Linked DNA regions of Sus scrofa. The protein of the gene in region 1 interacts with the protein of each later gene in a pairwise test. Links are inferred from orthologs where the notes say so. Each region holds a gene or a part of one and is shown in the gene's direction. Other genes may lie near its edges. The genes, in order: DCP1A, EDC3, PNRC2 and RITA1.

Region 1 (4,218 bases):
TTATGTCATTTGTACCTTAATTTTCTTTTCTTTTCTTTTTTTTCTTTTTTTTTTTTTTTTTGCTTTTTAGGGCCACATCTGCAGCATATGGACGTTCCCAGGCTAGGGGTCAAATCGGAGATGCAGTTGTTAGCCATAGCAATGGAGGATCCGAGCCTTGTCTGTGACCTATACCACAGCTCACAGCAATGCTGGATCCTTATCCATGAGCAGGGCCATGGATCAAACCCTCATCCTCATGGATACTGGTTGGGTTCATTATCACTGAGCCACAATGAGAACTCCTGTACCTTAATTTTCTTTCTTTCTTTCTTTCCTTTTTTTTTTTTTTTTTTTTTTTTTTATCTTTTTTAAGGCCATGACTGTGACATATGGAGGTTCCCAGGCTAGGGGTCACTTAATTTTCTTTTAAAAAAAAAAAAAGCTTTTATTAACAGTGACAAATATCATATAGTATCACTTATATGTGAAATCTAAAAAAAATAATACAGGAATTCCCATCATGGTGCAGTGGAAATGAATCCTACTAGGAACCATGAAGTTGCAGATTCAATCCCTGGCCTCACTCAGTGGATTAAGGATCCGGCATTGCCATGAGCTGTGATGTAGGTCACAGACTTGGCTCTGATTCCACGTTGCTGTGGCTGTGGTGTAGGCTGGCAGTTGTAGCTCTGATTCAACCCCTAGCCTGGGAACCTCCATATGCTGCGGGTGTGGCCCTAAAAAGCAAAAATTAATAAAAATTAAAAAATTTTTAAATAATACAAATGAACTTATTTGCAGAACAGAAACAGACCCACAGACTTTGAAAATAAACTTACAGTTATCAAAGGGGACAGGTGGGGTGAGTTGGGATGTGCTGGGGGTTTGGAATTGACATATGCACACTGTGGTATATTAAACAGCTGGCCAACAGAGACCTGCTATATAGCACAGTGAACTCTACCCAATATTCTGTGATAATCTATATGGGAAAAGAATCTGAAAAGAATGGATGTATGTATATGTATAACTGTATTGTTTTGTTGTATAGCAGAAATTTTCAAAACATTGTAGATCAACTACTATAAAACTTTTAAAAATGAAAAGGTGGCTTTCTAAATTAATGTATATTGGTAGTGTGAGTATATGTTAATGTGTATTGATGCAATTCAAATCATAGTTATAGAAAAAGAATTTTTTTTTTTGGTCTTTTTTTTTTTTTTTTAGGGCCACACCCATGGCATATGGAAGTTTCCAGGCTAGGGGTTGAATTGGAGTTGCAGCTGCCAACCTACACTGCAGCTTATGGCAACGCTGAATCCGTAACCCACTGAGCAAGACCAGGGATGGAACCCAAATCCTCATAGACCTTAGTCACGTTCTTAACCCACTGAGCAACAGCAGGAACTCAAAGGATTTTTAAAGTTTCTTCTGCTAGCATTTGTATTTTCTGTATTGTCATTCTTTTAGAATGTAATTTTTACCTTGTTCGATTATTTATGCTTGATTCTTTTTTGTGTTTTAGTCCTCAAGAGTAATTGAAACTTGTTTACTTTACTTTCTACAGAATATTTTGTGTTATTTCAACTAATGAGGCATTGAGTATGTAGTGGAAGGATACTGGCTTAGAGTGAGAAGACATGAGTTCTGGTTCTAGTTATAAGACTATTTTTCTCTAATTTATTAATGTCAGTCTTTCCATGAGCCTCGGTTTTCTATCCATAAAAGTACATAATGGAACTTCTGACCCAAACAAAATGGCATAAATTTGTCTTTCCTTCTCCCCTATTAAATACAATTCTAAAAATCAGAAGTAACAAAAGGACAATCAGGAAAATTCTAAAAGGTAGAAAGAAGAAGATCGGGTTCGGGACCCAGAACTGACAGAACAACCCAACAGCAGCTTGTCTTACAAGCCTTCAACAGAAGAAGGGGACCCAGGCATAGTGTTTCTTGACCTCCAACATAGCAAAGGAAGGTGCCTCATACAGGCTTGTTCCTCTCCTAGATCGAATGGGAGCCCTGCCAGCAGTACCAGGTGAGCCCAACAAGACTGCACGAAGGATTTAAACCTTACTGACAATAAATAGCCACTGAGGTAATATTTTCCCTCCTTTTCATGAGAAGGAGGTGGGTGTAGGGAAGGAGCCACATTACAACCACCTGGCCTAGGAAGCAGTCTTTATCTCCCTTCACCAGTGAAGGTACTCCAGGTGGCCTAGCCATTGAAAACTCCTCCCATCCTTTCAAGCAACACTGGCTAAGGGCCTACTAAATTCCCACCTCAAGAAATTAGAAAAAGAAGAAAAAAATAAACTAACTCAAAGCATGCAGAAGTAAGGAAAGAACAAAGAGTAGAGCAGAAATCAATGACATTAAGACGATGAAAACAAAGAAAAATGAATGAGACAAAAAGTTGATTATTTGAAAAAGTCAATAAAGTTGATAAACCTTTAATAAAGACTAATAAAAGTAAAAAGATGACATAGATTATCAATATCAGGAGTGGAATAGTGGATGTAGTTACCTGAAAAGTAGATTTGCCTCTTAGTTTGTGTCAAGCCAAAAGACATAACCAAGCTAAAGATCATGAGAAGGAAGGGTTTATTATTACTTGCAGCAAGTATAGGGAACATGGGATCTTTCACAAAACAGGGTCTCCCCAAGCAGCAAAGATGAGGGAGTTTCAAGTTAAGCATACATGCGTATTCATTAAGGAGCTTGGGTGGTCCACAGAATCCAAGTGTTAGTTGATTGAAGTTATAAGGGCCAGAAAATGTCAACATACTCCTCCCTTAGACTCCAGCTGATCTGGTGGTTGAACACTTCAGGCTAGTCTTTACCGTTGAAATAGAACTGGGAGCCTTTACAACCGCTACATTATCTTTGCTATCGTTACTTCTCCTACCTGATAATAATTTGTTTCTGCATTCTTTTGTTCCTTTAAGATCATTAATTACTGGGACCTGTTCAAGGGTAAGCATTGTGACCAGGCTTAGATCACAAAATGTCGTAGGCCAAAAATTGTTTCTCTTCTGTCAAGAAAGCCATGCCTGTTTCTCTTTCTCCAGGGAGCCCCTACCATATCTGCCTCCAATATCATCCACACATCCTCTGTAATAGGAGAATGCTATCAATAACTTTACACTCATACACGTGACCATTTAGAAGAAATGGACCAATTCCTTGAAGACAACAAACTACAAAACCAAGATAAAATAGATAACATAAATAAATAGTCCTATTGCCATGAAATAAATTGAATTCCTAATTTTAAAGTTTCCGAAAAAGAAATCCCCAGGCCCAGATGATTTTACTGGAGAATTCAAAGATTCTTTAATGCTAATTTTACAGTTTCTTCCAGAAAACAGAAAAGGGGAAACACTTCTCAACTTATTCTGTAAGACCAACGTTTACTTTAATACTCAAAACAAGAAAGTACAAAAAAGAAAACTACAAACCAGTATCTCTAATGAACTTTAAAAAAAAATCCTTAACCAGATAATAGCAAAGCCAACAATATATAGAAAAGAAATATAAATTATGAACAAATGGGCTTTATTCCAGCTCTGCAAAGGTGGTTCAGTATTAAAAATCAGTCAGTATATCTACCACATTATAAAGGAAAGGGTGAATGTTTTCCCTCTAATATTGAAAATAAAGCAAGGAAATCTATTCTCATTACTGCTATTCAACATAGCACTGAAAGTTCTAGCCAGTGTAATAAGGGGAAAAGAGAATAGGCCTACAGATTGGAAAAGAAGAAATAAAACTGTCTCTGTCCACAGATGACATGAATGTCTCTGTACAAACTCCTACAACTAATAAGTGAGTTTGGAAAGGTCTGGAGATACAAGATCAACACACAAAAATAAATCACACTTATACATACTTATAATGAACCTGTGGAAACCCCAAGTTAAAGGTAGTAACCGTTTATAAATTGTACAGGGAAAATTAAATACTTAGGTGTAAACATAACAAAACATGTACAGGTGTACTGAAAATTACAAAATACTGAATTTTAAAAAAATCAGAACCTAAATAAATGGAGAGATATACTACATTTGTGCATCAAAAGATTCAATGGGAGTTCCCGTCGTGGCGCAGTGGAAATGAATCTGACTAGGAACCATGAGATTGCAGGTTTGATCCCTAGCCTCACTCAATGGGTTAAGGATCCGGCATTGCCGTGAGCTGTAGTGTAGGTTGCAGATGCAGATCAGATCTGGCACT
Region 2 (3,561 bases), on another chromosome or scaffold:
GTTCCAGATTGAATCCCAAAAATATTCACCAGAGGCCTACAGTGGCCCTGCTATGTGGGCCCCATGTGAAGGGGGCTCAGGGTATCAGCTGTGGAAGGCATCTAGCTAACCATGATGTCCAGGTCATCCTCTTCCTTCCCAACTTCATGAAGATGCTGGAATCCATCACCAACGAGCTGTCTCTCTTCAGCAAGACCCAAGGCCAACAAGTATCTAGCCTCAAAGGTGAGCACTTGGACAGGGCCAGGCCGAGGCCCTCTCCCTCCTCCGTAGTTTGATGGTCTGGCAGTGCCACCCAGTGGCGGCAGGTGGAAAAGCACCACAAGCATAGTGTTCTTTCCCTGTGAGTGGAGTTAGTGTCTGAGATAAATAATTTTGGTGCCAACCGGCCTACTTCCCATCCCTTCACCTTCCTCGTTCTCCACTCAGATGGAGAGGTTGGGACCCATTTATTCATTTCACAAATATTTACAAGATGGGCACCGTTCCTGACACTTGGGGATATTGGCAGCAGGTTTTGTTCTTTTGGATTTTTTTTTTTTTTTCCTCTTAAATCTGTGTTTCCATGGAGCTTACATTCTGGTTAGGATGGGCCACAAGTAACATTTCTATCCGGTCAGATGGTAGTAAGTGTTAATGGAGACAAATAAAGCAGGGAGGAGTTCCTGTCGTGGCTCAGCAGAAACAAATCCCAGTAGTATCCATGAGGACACAGGTTCGATCCCTGGCCTTGCTCAGTGGGTTAAGGATCCAGCGTTGCCATGAGCTGTGGTGTAGGTTGCAGCTCAGCTCGGATCCTGCATTGGTGTGGCTGTGGCGTAGGCCAGCAGCTGTAGCTCTGATTCCACCCTGCCCAAGGACTTCCATATGCCTCAGGGCGGCTGTAAAAAGAAAGGAAGGAAGAAGGGAGTGGAGGGAGATAGAGATTGTTGGCGGGTTGGGTGAAAGGTAGCAGACTTAAACATTTAGGGTCTAATCATAGATTATTGTAAGGATTTGACCTGTTACTCTGGGTGAGATGGAGAGTCAATGGAAGGATAAGAAGAGAGATAATCCAGCTCAGGTTGCAGATGATCATTTTAGCTGTTATTTGAGAGAAGATTGTTACAGTGAGCGGTGTGAAGGCTGTTGGGGTAACTGGAGAGGGAAATGATGTGGCGGAGGCAGCATGGTAGTGGTGGAATCAGTAAAAGGTGGCCCCTGCAGCGTCATCAGAGTGGTGGAGTGGCATCACTCTTGGGGCCACCTTGGTTCTGGTCCCCTGCCTGGGCTGCTCTCTGATTCGTAGGGGTTTTCAGATGGCACTCTTTCCACCTGCAGATCTGCCCACTAGCCCTGTGGACCTGGTGATCAACTGCCTGGATTGCCCCGAGAATGCCTTCCTGCGGGATCAGCCCTGGTACAAGGCAGCTGTGGCCTGGGCCAACCAGAACCGAGCGCCAGTACTCAGCATAGACCCTCCTGTGCATGAAGTTGAACAGGGCATCGATGCCAAGTGGTCGCTGGCTCTGGGCCTGCCTCTGCCTTTAGGGGAGCATGCCGGCCGCGTCTATCTGTGCGACATCGGCATTCCCCAGCAGGTGTTCCAGGAGGTGGGCATCAACTACCACTCGCCCTTTGGCTGCAAGTTTGTCATCCCACTGCACTCCGCCTAGAAGGGCTCTAGGCAGGCTGGACCTTGCGGTCCCCCCGCTGCTCCTGATACTGAACTTGACAACGAACGCCTTAAGGATGTGAAACTTCATGGACCTTGTTCAATTTTTTCGTTTGCATTTGTTTCTTTGAGAGAACAGATGGTATTTAAAACTGACCTGTCACCTGCCCTTAGCCAGGGAAGGCCTCCCCACTGGGTGTGCGGGGCAGGTGGCAGGCTGAGTGGATGGTGGGTCCAGGGATCCATACACTCAGCCCCCGTGTGGTCAGATGGGGCTTTGTTTACAGACATAGGCAGCTCACAGACTGTGTTTCAGGTTTACAGCCACTGGACCTGGACGAGCGCCTCATGGGGTGGGGCAGTTCTGTTTAGGGGCCTGTGCTTGCTCTGTTTCAGAGCTTGTGGCTTTGTCTCCCCTGCTTCCTCCCCCCAAGCAGCCCTTACCGATCATGTAGAACTGGCTGTGCTGCAGTTGCCCACTAGAGGGCAGACTTGCGTCCTCCATGTAATCTGAGGGCTTTGAGGTCTTCTCTGAGCCCCACCATAAGTTGATTTGGGGGCTTTTGACCCTTTCTCCTGAGCTGATCTAAGTTTTATGCTGGAGTTTTGTTTTTTGTTATTTTTTTTTTCTAAGATTCCTTCCTCCTTCCCACTCCATCACTCTGAGAGGCAGAGAAGTGGGGGTGGCATCAGAATTGTTTTACTATATTGGAATTTTTTACTGTTTTTCTGTTGTCTTCAGTACAGGTAGTATAAGGTTATGTTACTAGAGAACCACAGTGCCCATCTTGCCAGCAGTGCCCCCCGCCCCAAACCCATACTCTCTAGCTGGGGGCTGAGCCTTTGCCTAGTCTGGGGCCAGACCCCTCAGGGTGCAGCTTTAATGTTTAGTATTGGGGAGGCCCCAGGGGGAGCCTGGTGCTGAGCCAGAAGAGGCTCCCTGGTGCTTCTGTCCTAGGCCACCACTCCCCTCCGCTCCCTGCCTGCACACACATACCCGTCTTCTCTTCTACCCCCTCTGCCCTTCCTCTGCAGTGGTCCTCTGCAGCTGTGATCCCAGAGCAGGGTGCATGTCTCTCCCCTTTGGGCTCCACCCCAGCTTTTACAGTGTCTGGGCCTTGAACCCTCTTTGTCCTTTCTAGATGAGTAGGCTCAGGGCCAGCGCCCTGTCTCAAAGATGCCAAAATGAGGCTAGTTCTAGATGAGCTAGCTGGGGGGTGCTCAGCCTGAAGAACATTGTGCTGCTCAGATCCTATGCACTGAGCCCGTGGACATTCACAGGCCTAGGCCCTGGAGGCTGGCAGGACAGGAGCCATGCCCCGAAGTTTCTGGGAGAGGCTCTTGCAAAAGGCTTGTGCTTTAAAGCCTCTTTCAGGGCTTCAGGCTTCTGCTCTGTGCCCACTCACTCTGGTTAAGGGGGTGAGTAAAAGGGCTTGGCAAGGATTGTGGACACAGGGTAGGCCCTGGCACCATGGGTTTCAGGCTACTTTCACTTTCTTATAGGAGCATAGCCAGGAGCAGATGAGGCAGGGCAGAGGGCTGGTCCCTCCTTTCCTCCCATCCTCCTTCAAATGCTGAATTGTCTCTAGCAGTGGAAGGTCAGCGACTGTGAATCCCGTGCTGTATATCCTTCCTGAGCCTCTGCTTACTCTCAGGGCCAAGAAGCTCCCCACATGGGGCCCTCTCTTTATAGAAGCAGGGCTGTAAACTGAGGAGCAGTGCAAGATTACAGGCATTTTGGTAAGCAGTCGTTAACCCAGCCCTGGCTTCCGGTTAATGCAGGTAGGTCCCCTGATTGGGTGCAGTGAAAAAGAGCTAGAAGAACCCTGGCCCAGAAGACTCTGCTTGCTCCAGTAAGTCACAGTGGCCCTGGGGTGCTGGCCTTGTGTTGAGGAGCCACAGGGAAT
Region 3 (4,007 bases), on another chromosome or scaffold:
CTGGTTAAAGGCTTGGATCTGACCCCATGAGGTGGCAAAACCAACCAACAAACCAAAAAACTCCTATGTTCATAGAAACTGTTGTTCTCTTTTAAAATACGAGCCTTGGGTTGCTTATCCATTTATTCCCAAGAAGTTGTCCTTTTCCTCTTTGCTGCACCTCACTGGCAAACGAACTTAACTCTTTTCTCCTCCCTTTATTTACACACTGCAGAAAGGGTTATAAGTAAGGGAACTCTCCTCTCAACAAACTCTTCTTGGGGCACTTACAACGTACTCTGTGTTCAGAGAAACGAAACCCTGCTTTGCCCCCTGCCCAACCCCACCCGGAGGATGTGTGCGCGGGAACTCGCGGACAAGTAGCTACCACATAGTGTGATTGAAGTTCAAGACCAGTCAGACACAAAGGAGGAACTGATTAACTTGACCCGCACGTGCGTCGGAAACGCCTTCACAGAAGAGGTAGCTTCTTAGAATTTCGAGGCTGGGGGCCAGGGGGGCGGGAAGGAACCGCAAGCTGGGGCGCTGGCGTGACCGAGAAACAGAGAGGGAGGAGTGTCTGGACTAAGTGGCCAGGGGCCAGCCTCGGAAAGCAACTTTGATCAGTATCTTCCATGTGTAAGAGATCGGTTACTCGGCTCAGTGAACTTAACTCGGGAACTCAACGCCCCCTCCAGTGACTCCCCATGGCCCGGAACCCACTTGGTTCCGAGTGCCACGGGACCCACTGGCCGGACAGCGCGGGAGGAAGCCGCTGTTCCAGTGGGCGGCCGACGCCCTTCTCCCCGGAGCCGCTTGCGCGCGGCTCTCGGACCCTGGAATCGGCGCGAGGGGCTGGTGCTGGCCGCGACTTGGGGTGTCGGACGGGGCCTGGTGGGCTTCTCCCGGAAGGGGCTGGTGTCACTCGGGGGCCCGAGAAAGGGCGGCAGCCGGGGCCCGCAGCGGTCTTTCCCGACATGCTCTTCTCGAGGAGTATTTGAAACCCTCGGCCACAGCCACCTCCCCTCCCTCGGCCCCGTCGGGCCCCAGCAACAGGCGGCGGCCCGCGTGTCATTGGCCGGGCCGCGCGAAAGCGTGTTTTGATTGGCCGCCGCGCTTCCCGGCCCAGCTTCTGCGCTCACTGTCGCCTCCATTTTGTCGGTAGAGGCAGAAGGAGGAGGTCGGCCGGGACGTTAAGGTGGCCTGCAGCAGGCTCGTCGGTGCCCGTTGGCTTCGCTCGTTCCGTGCCTCGTCTCTCCCTGGAAGGGGAGGGGGGCTTCGACGCCGAGCAGGATCCGCCGCTGTCGTAGTCCCGAGCTTGAAGTCGGTGAGTGGCGGGCGCGGCCATGTTGGCGGCCGCGCTCCCCATTGTTGGGGGTAGGAAGTCAGATCCAGTGCCCGGCGGGCGCAGGCGGCGGGGAAGACCGGGTTCCCCGGCCGGGCCCGAGCAACGCGGAGCGGCTCGGAAACCCAGCCACATCGGAAGAGCCGAACTTTCCAGGCTCTTGTTGGGAATGACTCACGATCCGGGAATTCGTAGTTTCTTTAGGGCTGTTAAAATAGTCTGGAAGGGCCTCTCGCTCTTTCAAAAAAAAGAGGGCTTATTATTTATATGGTGACTTGGTTTCTTGGAATAGCAAACGAAATCTTGAATGTTTAATGTTCCTGATAGGCATTTTCATACATATTAGATGGGACAGTGACTTCAGTTATGGCTTGTGGAACTTCTTTTAAAATGGGGAGGAGTCAAGAGTTCAAAACTAAAGGAAACGCTGCATCACGTAAACCTGTTTGGAGAGGAGGCTTTGTGGAAACGGATGTGTAATGTGTGCAAAGATTGGAAAGTAATGGTGAGACTTTAAAAACATAGCTTCTTTAGGAAACACAGTTTAAGCCCATTTCTTGGCATGGCTGTGAAAGTTAATGCTTCTGTGGTTTGACTGGTTTTGGTCACAGAATCCGTGTGAGAATCTGAAAAGTTCCTAGAAAAAAGATACAACTTATTGAGAGGTCTGGCGGACACCCTTCCCCAATTCCTTATGAGTTCCTGGATCTCAAGGCTTAGAAGAGTTCTTAGATGATGACAGTTCTAAGGTCAAAGCCATCTTTAGAGACATTATTTTCTGCCTTTTAATTAGGAAGTAGCCATTTAACTATTTCTGTAGCAAATAATAAATGATCGCTTTCTCCTGTTTAACACGTGAAATAATTTAGAAATCTTTGCTTTTTAGCTAGGACTTCTCTCAAGGTTGTGTGCTGAGGAGACTCAGATGTTGGCCTCAGTTCCTAGGCTGAACTCAGCAGATCGGCCCATGAAAACTTCTGTATTGAGACAAAGGAAAGGATCTGTCAGAAAGCAACATCTCTTATCCTGGGCTTGGCGGCAAGGAAGAGGACAGGTGGTGGAAATCCTGCAATCTGAAAAGCAGACTGAAAGGTATCCAAGACTTCATGTTGAAATGGGGCAGACATTTTTATGGACTCATCCTAAACTGTTTAAGTAGAGGATCATACCAATTTGTAAGTTCATTTTTCTCAAGAAGTAACAAAGGCTGTGCATATGAAGTGTGGGCATTGTAATTAAGTAAAAAGCAGCTGAATAGCACATCTTTGAGTCTTCACCAAGGTTTCTGGGGTTACAAGTTGTGACTACTGAAGTTTTTTTAAAGTTTTAAACTATCTTAAGTGGAATTTTACTTAGCATTTTGTTTCCATTTGCTTACAGGTGACAAAGAAGCTGAAGATGGGTGGTGGAGAGAGGTATAACATTCCAGCCCCTCAATCTAGAAATGTTAGTAAGAACCAACAACAGCTTAATAGACAGAAGACCAAGGATCAGAATTCCCAGATGAAGATTGTTCATAAGAAAAAGGAAAGAGGACATACTTACAATTCATCAGCAGCTGCATGGCAAGCCATGCAAAATGGGGGGAAGAACAAAAATTTTCCAAATAATCAAAATTGGAACTCTAGCTTATCAAGTCCCACCTTACTTTTTAAGTCTCAAACTAATCAGAACTATGCTGGAGCCAAATTTAGTGAGCCACCGTCACCAAGTGTTCTTCCTAAACCACCAAGCCACTGGGTTCCTGTTTCCTTCAATCCTTCCGATAAAGAAATAATGACATTTCAACTAAAAACCTTACTTAAAGTACAGGTATGAGATAAAGTACTAATGTTCAAAGCTAGTCAATATTTAGGGATAATTGGCAATTGTTTCAGACTAAATACACAAGGGAATTAATCTGTAAAATAGCTTGCGTAGAAAATATAATTAGACTTCATCTTTTATGTGTTATGTGCATTGATGTAATGATAGAATCAGTGCAACTTAACTAAGATTTGTACTTGATTATCAATACTAAATTAAGTGTTTTCAATGGATTAACCATTTAAATGAAACCAAGTGCAGATTTGGGGAGTGATAAAGGAATCAACCTTTTCTATTGCTTGTTGGGAAAATTAAGATTATCATTCATGGATCAGTAGGTTTACTTGTTGAAAGCTGGTGAATCTGATGATAAGCATCAAATTAAAACATACAGGGGTTGAAAACTAGTTGAATATTGAGTTCAATGTTCTAGAAACATCCAGACCAGTTACATATCAACAACCTGATGCACTGCCAAAAAAATGTGAACTTTTTAAAAAGATTATAGTTGTTTTAGTTAACTATATGGTGTACAGGGCACTAGGGGCTATTAGAATGAAATAGTATACCCCACTGGCCTTGTATATGACATGCAGTGGATAGATGTCTGCCAACAAAGGCACCGAAATCATTTTTTATGGAAATAGTATTTGGTGTTAACCAAGTAGCTTTCAAAATGCATTTTTGTATTATGGCACTGCACAAGCTATTCTGACAGTGATCTGGCTTCACACCATCCTTGCAAAGCTTGTTTAAAGTGGGGAGCTGTATAATGTGAAAGTTTTAAGTAGCTAGGAAAGAGCCATGTAAATATATGTAATAAACTTGTAGCATATGTAAAATTTTATTGGCATTTATCCTACAAAAATAGAATATT
Region 4 (4,309 bases), on another chromosome or scaffold:
CTGAAGAGTAGAATGTCTGAACACTGTCATCTCAGTCTTTCCACAGTTTTCGAGATGCACATAATCCATTGCTTTCTATGTGTGTGGAAACTGAAGCTCAGAGAGGTTAAGCAACTTCTCCCATATCCTCCAGCCAGTACAAGATTGGGTCAAATTTGAAAATAGGGCTGTGCCTTGGTCCATATTTACAGAGGATCTACTATATGAGGCTCAGGTGGAATAAGGTTCCCATCTGGTCCCTGCCTCCGAGGGTAGAACCCTCTCTACATATAAACGCTTCTCTGTGCCTGGCAGCCGCTACGCACAAGGCTGTGAGAAATACTGGGCTACAGCGCTTTTCCACGTTGGTGTTCACACCTACCGCCGCCCCCCTGCCGCCCCTTGCATACAGTTAACATTCAGTAGAGGAAACAGCACGGGGACTGGAACCATACAGTCCGAGATTTGAATCCTTGCTCTCCCACTCACAAGCCCTGAGATCTTGGTCACGTTCCTTTAACCCCTCTAGGCCTAGGTTTCCTCCTCTGGAAAATCAGGATGGCTACTTAGCTCACCGGGTGGGTGTAAGGATTAAATGATAAGGTTTGTAAAGCTCTTAGCGCCGGAGCCTGGCACATAATAAGCGATCAACAAAAGCAAGTCTAACTTATTATTAGTTTCCAAAAGTTTGGGGGAGCCACGGTCTCAAGCCAAGCGGTGAAGCCTTCTCCTAATTCATCCTCCCAAGAATCCCCCAAACTCTCCAAGTCCGATCTTCAGCATCCGCACTTTCCATTGGATGAGTGGGAATCAGGACCCGTTCCCCGGCTAGGAAGTAGCCAATGAGAAGCAAGAAACTGAGAGCCGGCCCGGAAGGCCCGCAGGCCCCAGCCCCTGGAGCACATGAGCCTCAGGCCGGAGGTCCTGACCCAACCCCAGGCCAGACGACCTCTCCCCACCTTCAGCCGTGCCCACTCCTCAGCTGGGGAAACTCAAGCTGCGAGGCGCTGCACGGAGCCAGCGCTTGGGCTCCGACATATATGCGTTCCTACCTTCTGGGCCCGGGCGTCATCTTGCGCCTGGATCTCAAACTCGCCGTCCTCCGAGTCGCTGCTGCGGGACTGGGAGGCCGCTCCCCGGCGCTTCCGGAGCCCCTTCTTTTTCCTCCATTGGGCCATGGCAGCTCCGGACCGCTGTGCGGCCGCCGGGCGCCTGCCGGCAGCCATGCGGGCCCCGGCGCCGAGAAACAGGAGGGAGCGGAGTCTGCCGGAATGTACCAACGGCGCGTTTGGGGCGGGGGTGGGCCTCTACGCGGCCGCTGCTGCGTTCCCTCCCCTCTCGCAGCCTCCGGATGCTTGACACACAATGCGCGCGCCCACAGTGTCGTCTCACCGGCGTGAGATACCCCTCCCCAAGGCTTTGGGGAACTCCAGGTGGCGTCCGGAACGGGGAGCCCTGACCACCTCGGGAGCGAATGGTTCCGGCCGGCTCGCCGGGGCCTGCGGTTGGAGGGCTGGTGGTTGGTTGCTGTTTGATGCGCGTGCGGACCTGACGTCGCTAGGGCTTGACTTCCCTGGTCCAGTCCGTCGGCGCTTTGCCCGGGCTGTCCGCGCGGTGCCCGGGTCGGGGGCTGGGGGTGGCCTGAGCAGCCGAGGGTCGCGGGCTCCTGAGAGTCGGAGCTGCAGATCTCGGGTGTACCGCGCGCTGCAGGTGCCAGAACGCCCCCGCAAAGGAGTCCAGACTTGGGGGGAGGGGCCATAGAATTGCGGCCGACATCAGCAATACAAAATGCTCAGGTAGGAAAGTAACTCCAGGTTGCCGGCACCTCAGACGTCAGCCGGGATTTTGATTTGGGGATCGGCGAATAACAGACTGGGCGTGATCCTTCAGTAGTACAATAGTTGAGTGCACAAGCTCTAGAATTCTATCAGGTTCAGATTCAACTCCCACTGTTTTAGCTTATAGGTGTGACTGACATTTGTGACTTCAGCTTTTGAAGCCCCAGTTTTGTCATCTGTAGAATGGACGTAATGGAAGCTATGTCACAGGACCGTTGAGAAGATTAAATGAGACAATGCTTATGAAGCACTTTGCAAGAGGTAGGCTTGGGATTATGCTGGTTATTATACCTGCCCCGTAAACATGTACAGCATATAGGGACTTCCCTTGTCTCCCCTTCCTTTGTTTTCTGGTTGGTGCCAAAATGGGCACAAGCCCAATCTCTTCTCCAATCCCCTAGCATTCTGTAAATATTTGTTGAGCACACAGTGTATGCCGGAAGTACATGTTTATTCATGAAATTTTGGCCAGTAGGACCCCCGTCCCTGTCATCCTGACAACTAAAAAAGGGTCAGATTTCCAAAATGTGCCCTGGGATTGGCAGCTCCCCTTTGAGGAGGTCTGGTTAAGGGAGAATGTGACCTTTTTGCCCTGGGGATGGGAATTTATGTGACTGCCAGTCTTTGCTGATGACAGATGGTTGCCACCATGACCGTTTTTCACAGGGAGCCCTGGAGGCAGGGCCTGGAAGGCAGAGCACAACTGCTGTCACCAGAGACCATGGGCAGCATGAAGACCCCAGTTGAGCTGGCCATCAGTGGGATGCAGACCCTCCATGTTCAGCAACGCTGCCGGGGCAACCACCGGGTCAATGTTAGGCCGTCATACGTGGATGAGACTTTGTTTGGCAGTCCTGCAGGCACCCGGCCCACACCACCAGATTTTGACCCACCCTGGATGAAGAAAGCCAACAGAACCAGAGGAGTGGGTACAGGGGCATCACAGGCCTCAGGAGCCAACAGGAGCTGTGAGACCAGCTCTTCCAGGGGTAGCATCCCAACCCCCACACCAAGGAAGAAGAACAAGTACAGGTAACAGGCCAGGGAGATGCCCTGCTGTTCACATGCTGTGTGGCCTTGGGCAAGCACTTTGAATTCTCTGAGCTGCGATTTCCTCACAGTGGAAGGTGGTACCTAGTGGGATTATTGAGAGGATTAAACGAGATGAGACTTTACAGTGCTTGGCACAATAACCTGACAATTAAAAAGCTCTCAATAAATGGTGGTGATGATGGTTGTGATGGTGCAATAACCATCCCCAGATGTCTTAGGCTGGTCTTCTGAGGCCCAGAGGGGTCAGGTGATTTGCCCAAGATCACACAGCAGTTTGCATAAGATTATTAGTGTGGTTGATTGATAAAATAACACAGATGTGATTCCACATTTCATCAAGTTATTCATAAAATGGCTCCTGCTGCATTTTCATGAACAAGTTAGGAAAACAGGGTCTAATGCTAATGGTTATTGTTGTAAATTAGAACTAGATTATTTGGATTATTTTGATTAATATTGGCCTGGGAGTTCTCTTTTGTAGGATCCATGAGAACGACGTTCTATCCCTGGCCTCACTCAGTGGGTTAAGGATCTGGCATTGCTGTTGGCTGTTGTGTAGGTCACAGACACAGCTTGGATCCCACGTTGCTATGGCTGTGGCGTAGGCCAGCGGCTGTAGCTCCGATTCGACCCCTAGCCTGGGAACTTCCATATGCCGCAGGTGCGGTCCTAAAAGGCAAAAAAAATAATAAAAGTATATAGATATTGATCTGGAGGAAGGTGTCTCATGGTAAGCCACAAGACTCTAACTTATTTATTGTCATCAGTGATTTGATCAAACACATGGAAGACTAGTAATTTAGTCAGTCAGGCTATCATAACAAAATATTGTAGACTGGGGGCTTAAACAACAGAAATTTATTTTTTCACAGTTTTAGAGGCTTGAAGTCCAAGGTCAAGAGGCCAGGAAGGTTGGTTTCTCCTGAAGCCTCTCCTTGGGTTGCAGATGGCCACCTCTTCACTGGGTCCTCAAAGAGACTTTTCTTTGTGAGGTGTATACTCCTGGTGTCTCTTCCTCTTCTTATAAGAACACAAATCGTATTGGTTTAGGACCTCGCCTTTATGGCCTCATTTAACCTCTAATTACTTATTTAAAATTCACATGAATTTTGGGAGGACTCAATTCAGTCCAAATAACTAGCGATCATATTTAGGATCCCTTCTGAGCCAGTAGACACAAAGATTAGTTAAGAATGAGAATAATGCCTATTTAAGGAGATAAAATTCAACAGAGATAAAAGCAAGACCCCCTTATTACGTCAACCTGACAAGTCTCATGGACCACAAGGCAGGGTCAGATTGACATTAATAGCACTGACACCTACAGCAAGGCTGTAGGATGCTGACAAGTAGAGGTGCCTAAGTTAGAAGGTGCCTAAGAAGTGGAGATGCTATTGAGCAAACACTTTGGTACCAGACAGACATAGGTATCAACCAGA

The links.
Region 2: the proteins of DCP1A (region 1) and EDC3 interact in binary tests that used the Homo sapiens proteins (3 or more experiments, as listed by UniProt). The two-hybrid records come from large-scale screens. The link is inferred for Sus scrofa from reciprocal best matches to the Homo sapiens genes DCP1A and EDC3.
Region 3: the proteins of DCP1A (region 1) and PNRC2 interact in binary tests that used the Homo sapiens proteins (3 or more experiments, as listed by UniProt). The link is inferred for Sus scrofa from reciprocal best matches to the Homo sapiens genes DCP1A and PNRC2.
Region 4: the proteins of DCP1A (region 1) and RITA1 interact in binary tests that used the Homo sapiens proteins (3 or more experiments, as listed by UniProt). The two-hybrid records come from large-scale screens. The link is inferred for Sus scrofa from reciprocal best matches to the Homo sapiens genes DCP1A and RITA1.

Annotation. Positions count from the first base shown.
Region 1 is NC_010455.5:35,422,986-35,427,203, reverse strand, and holds the start of DCP1A (mRNA-decapping enzyme 1A), read left to right. Parts: upstream 1-1,358; 5' UTR 1,359-1,995; coding exon 1,996-2,020; intron 2,021-4,218. UniProt on the Homo sapiens protein: Necessary for the degradation of mRNAs, both in normal mRNA turnover and in nonsense-mediated mRNA decay. Removes the 7-methyl guanine cap structure from mRNA molecules, yielding a 5'-phosphorylated mRNA fragment and 7m-GDP.
Region 2 is NC_010449.5:58,891,148-58,894,708, forward strand, and holds part of EDC3 (enhancer of mRNA-decapping protein 3), read left to right. Parts: intron 1-7; coding exon 8-225; intron 226-1,320; coding exon 1,321-1,655; 3' UTR 1,656-3,561. UniProt on the Homo sapiens protein: Binds single-stranded RNA. Involved in the process of mRNA degradation and in the positive regulation of mRNA decapping. May play a role in spermiogenesis and oogenesis.
Region 3 is NC_010448.4:81,721,773-81,725,779, forward strand, and holds the start of PNRC2 (proline-rich nuclear receptor coactivator 2), read left to right. Parts: upstream 1-1,153; 5' UTR 1,154-1,306; intron 1,307-2,210; 5' UTR 2,211-2,416; intron 2,417-2,704; 5' UTR 2,705-2,722; coding exon 2,723-3,142; 3' UTR 3,143-4,007. UniProt on the Homo sapiens protein: Involved in nonsense-mediated mRNA decay (NMD) by acting as a bridge between the mRNA decapping complex and the NMD machinery. May act by targeting the NMD machinery to the P-body and recruiting the decapping machinery to aberrant mRNAs.
Region 4 is NC_010456.5:38,666,580-38,670,888, forward strand, and holds the start of RITA1 (RBPJ-interacting and tubulin-associated protein 1), read left to right. Parts: upstream 1-1,506; 5' UTR 1,507-1,775; intron 1,776-1,937; 5' UTR 1,938-2,078; intron 2,079-2,483; 5' UTR 2,484-2,538; coding exon 2,539-2,849; intron 2,850-4,309. Other genes in the region: ATP-dependent RNA helicase DDX54, read right to left, coding at 1,032-1,205. UniProt on the Homo sapiens protein: Tubulin-binding protein that acts as a negative regulator of Notch signaling pathway.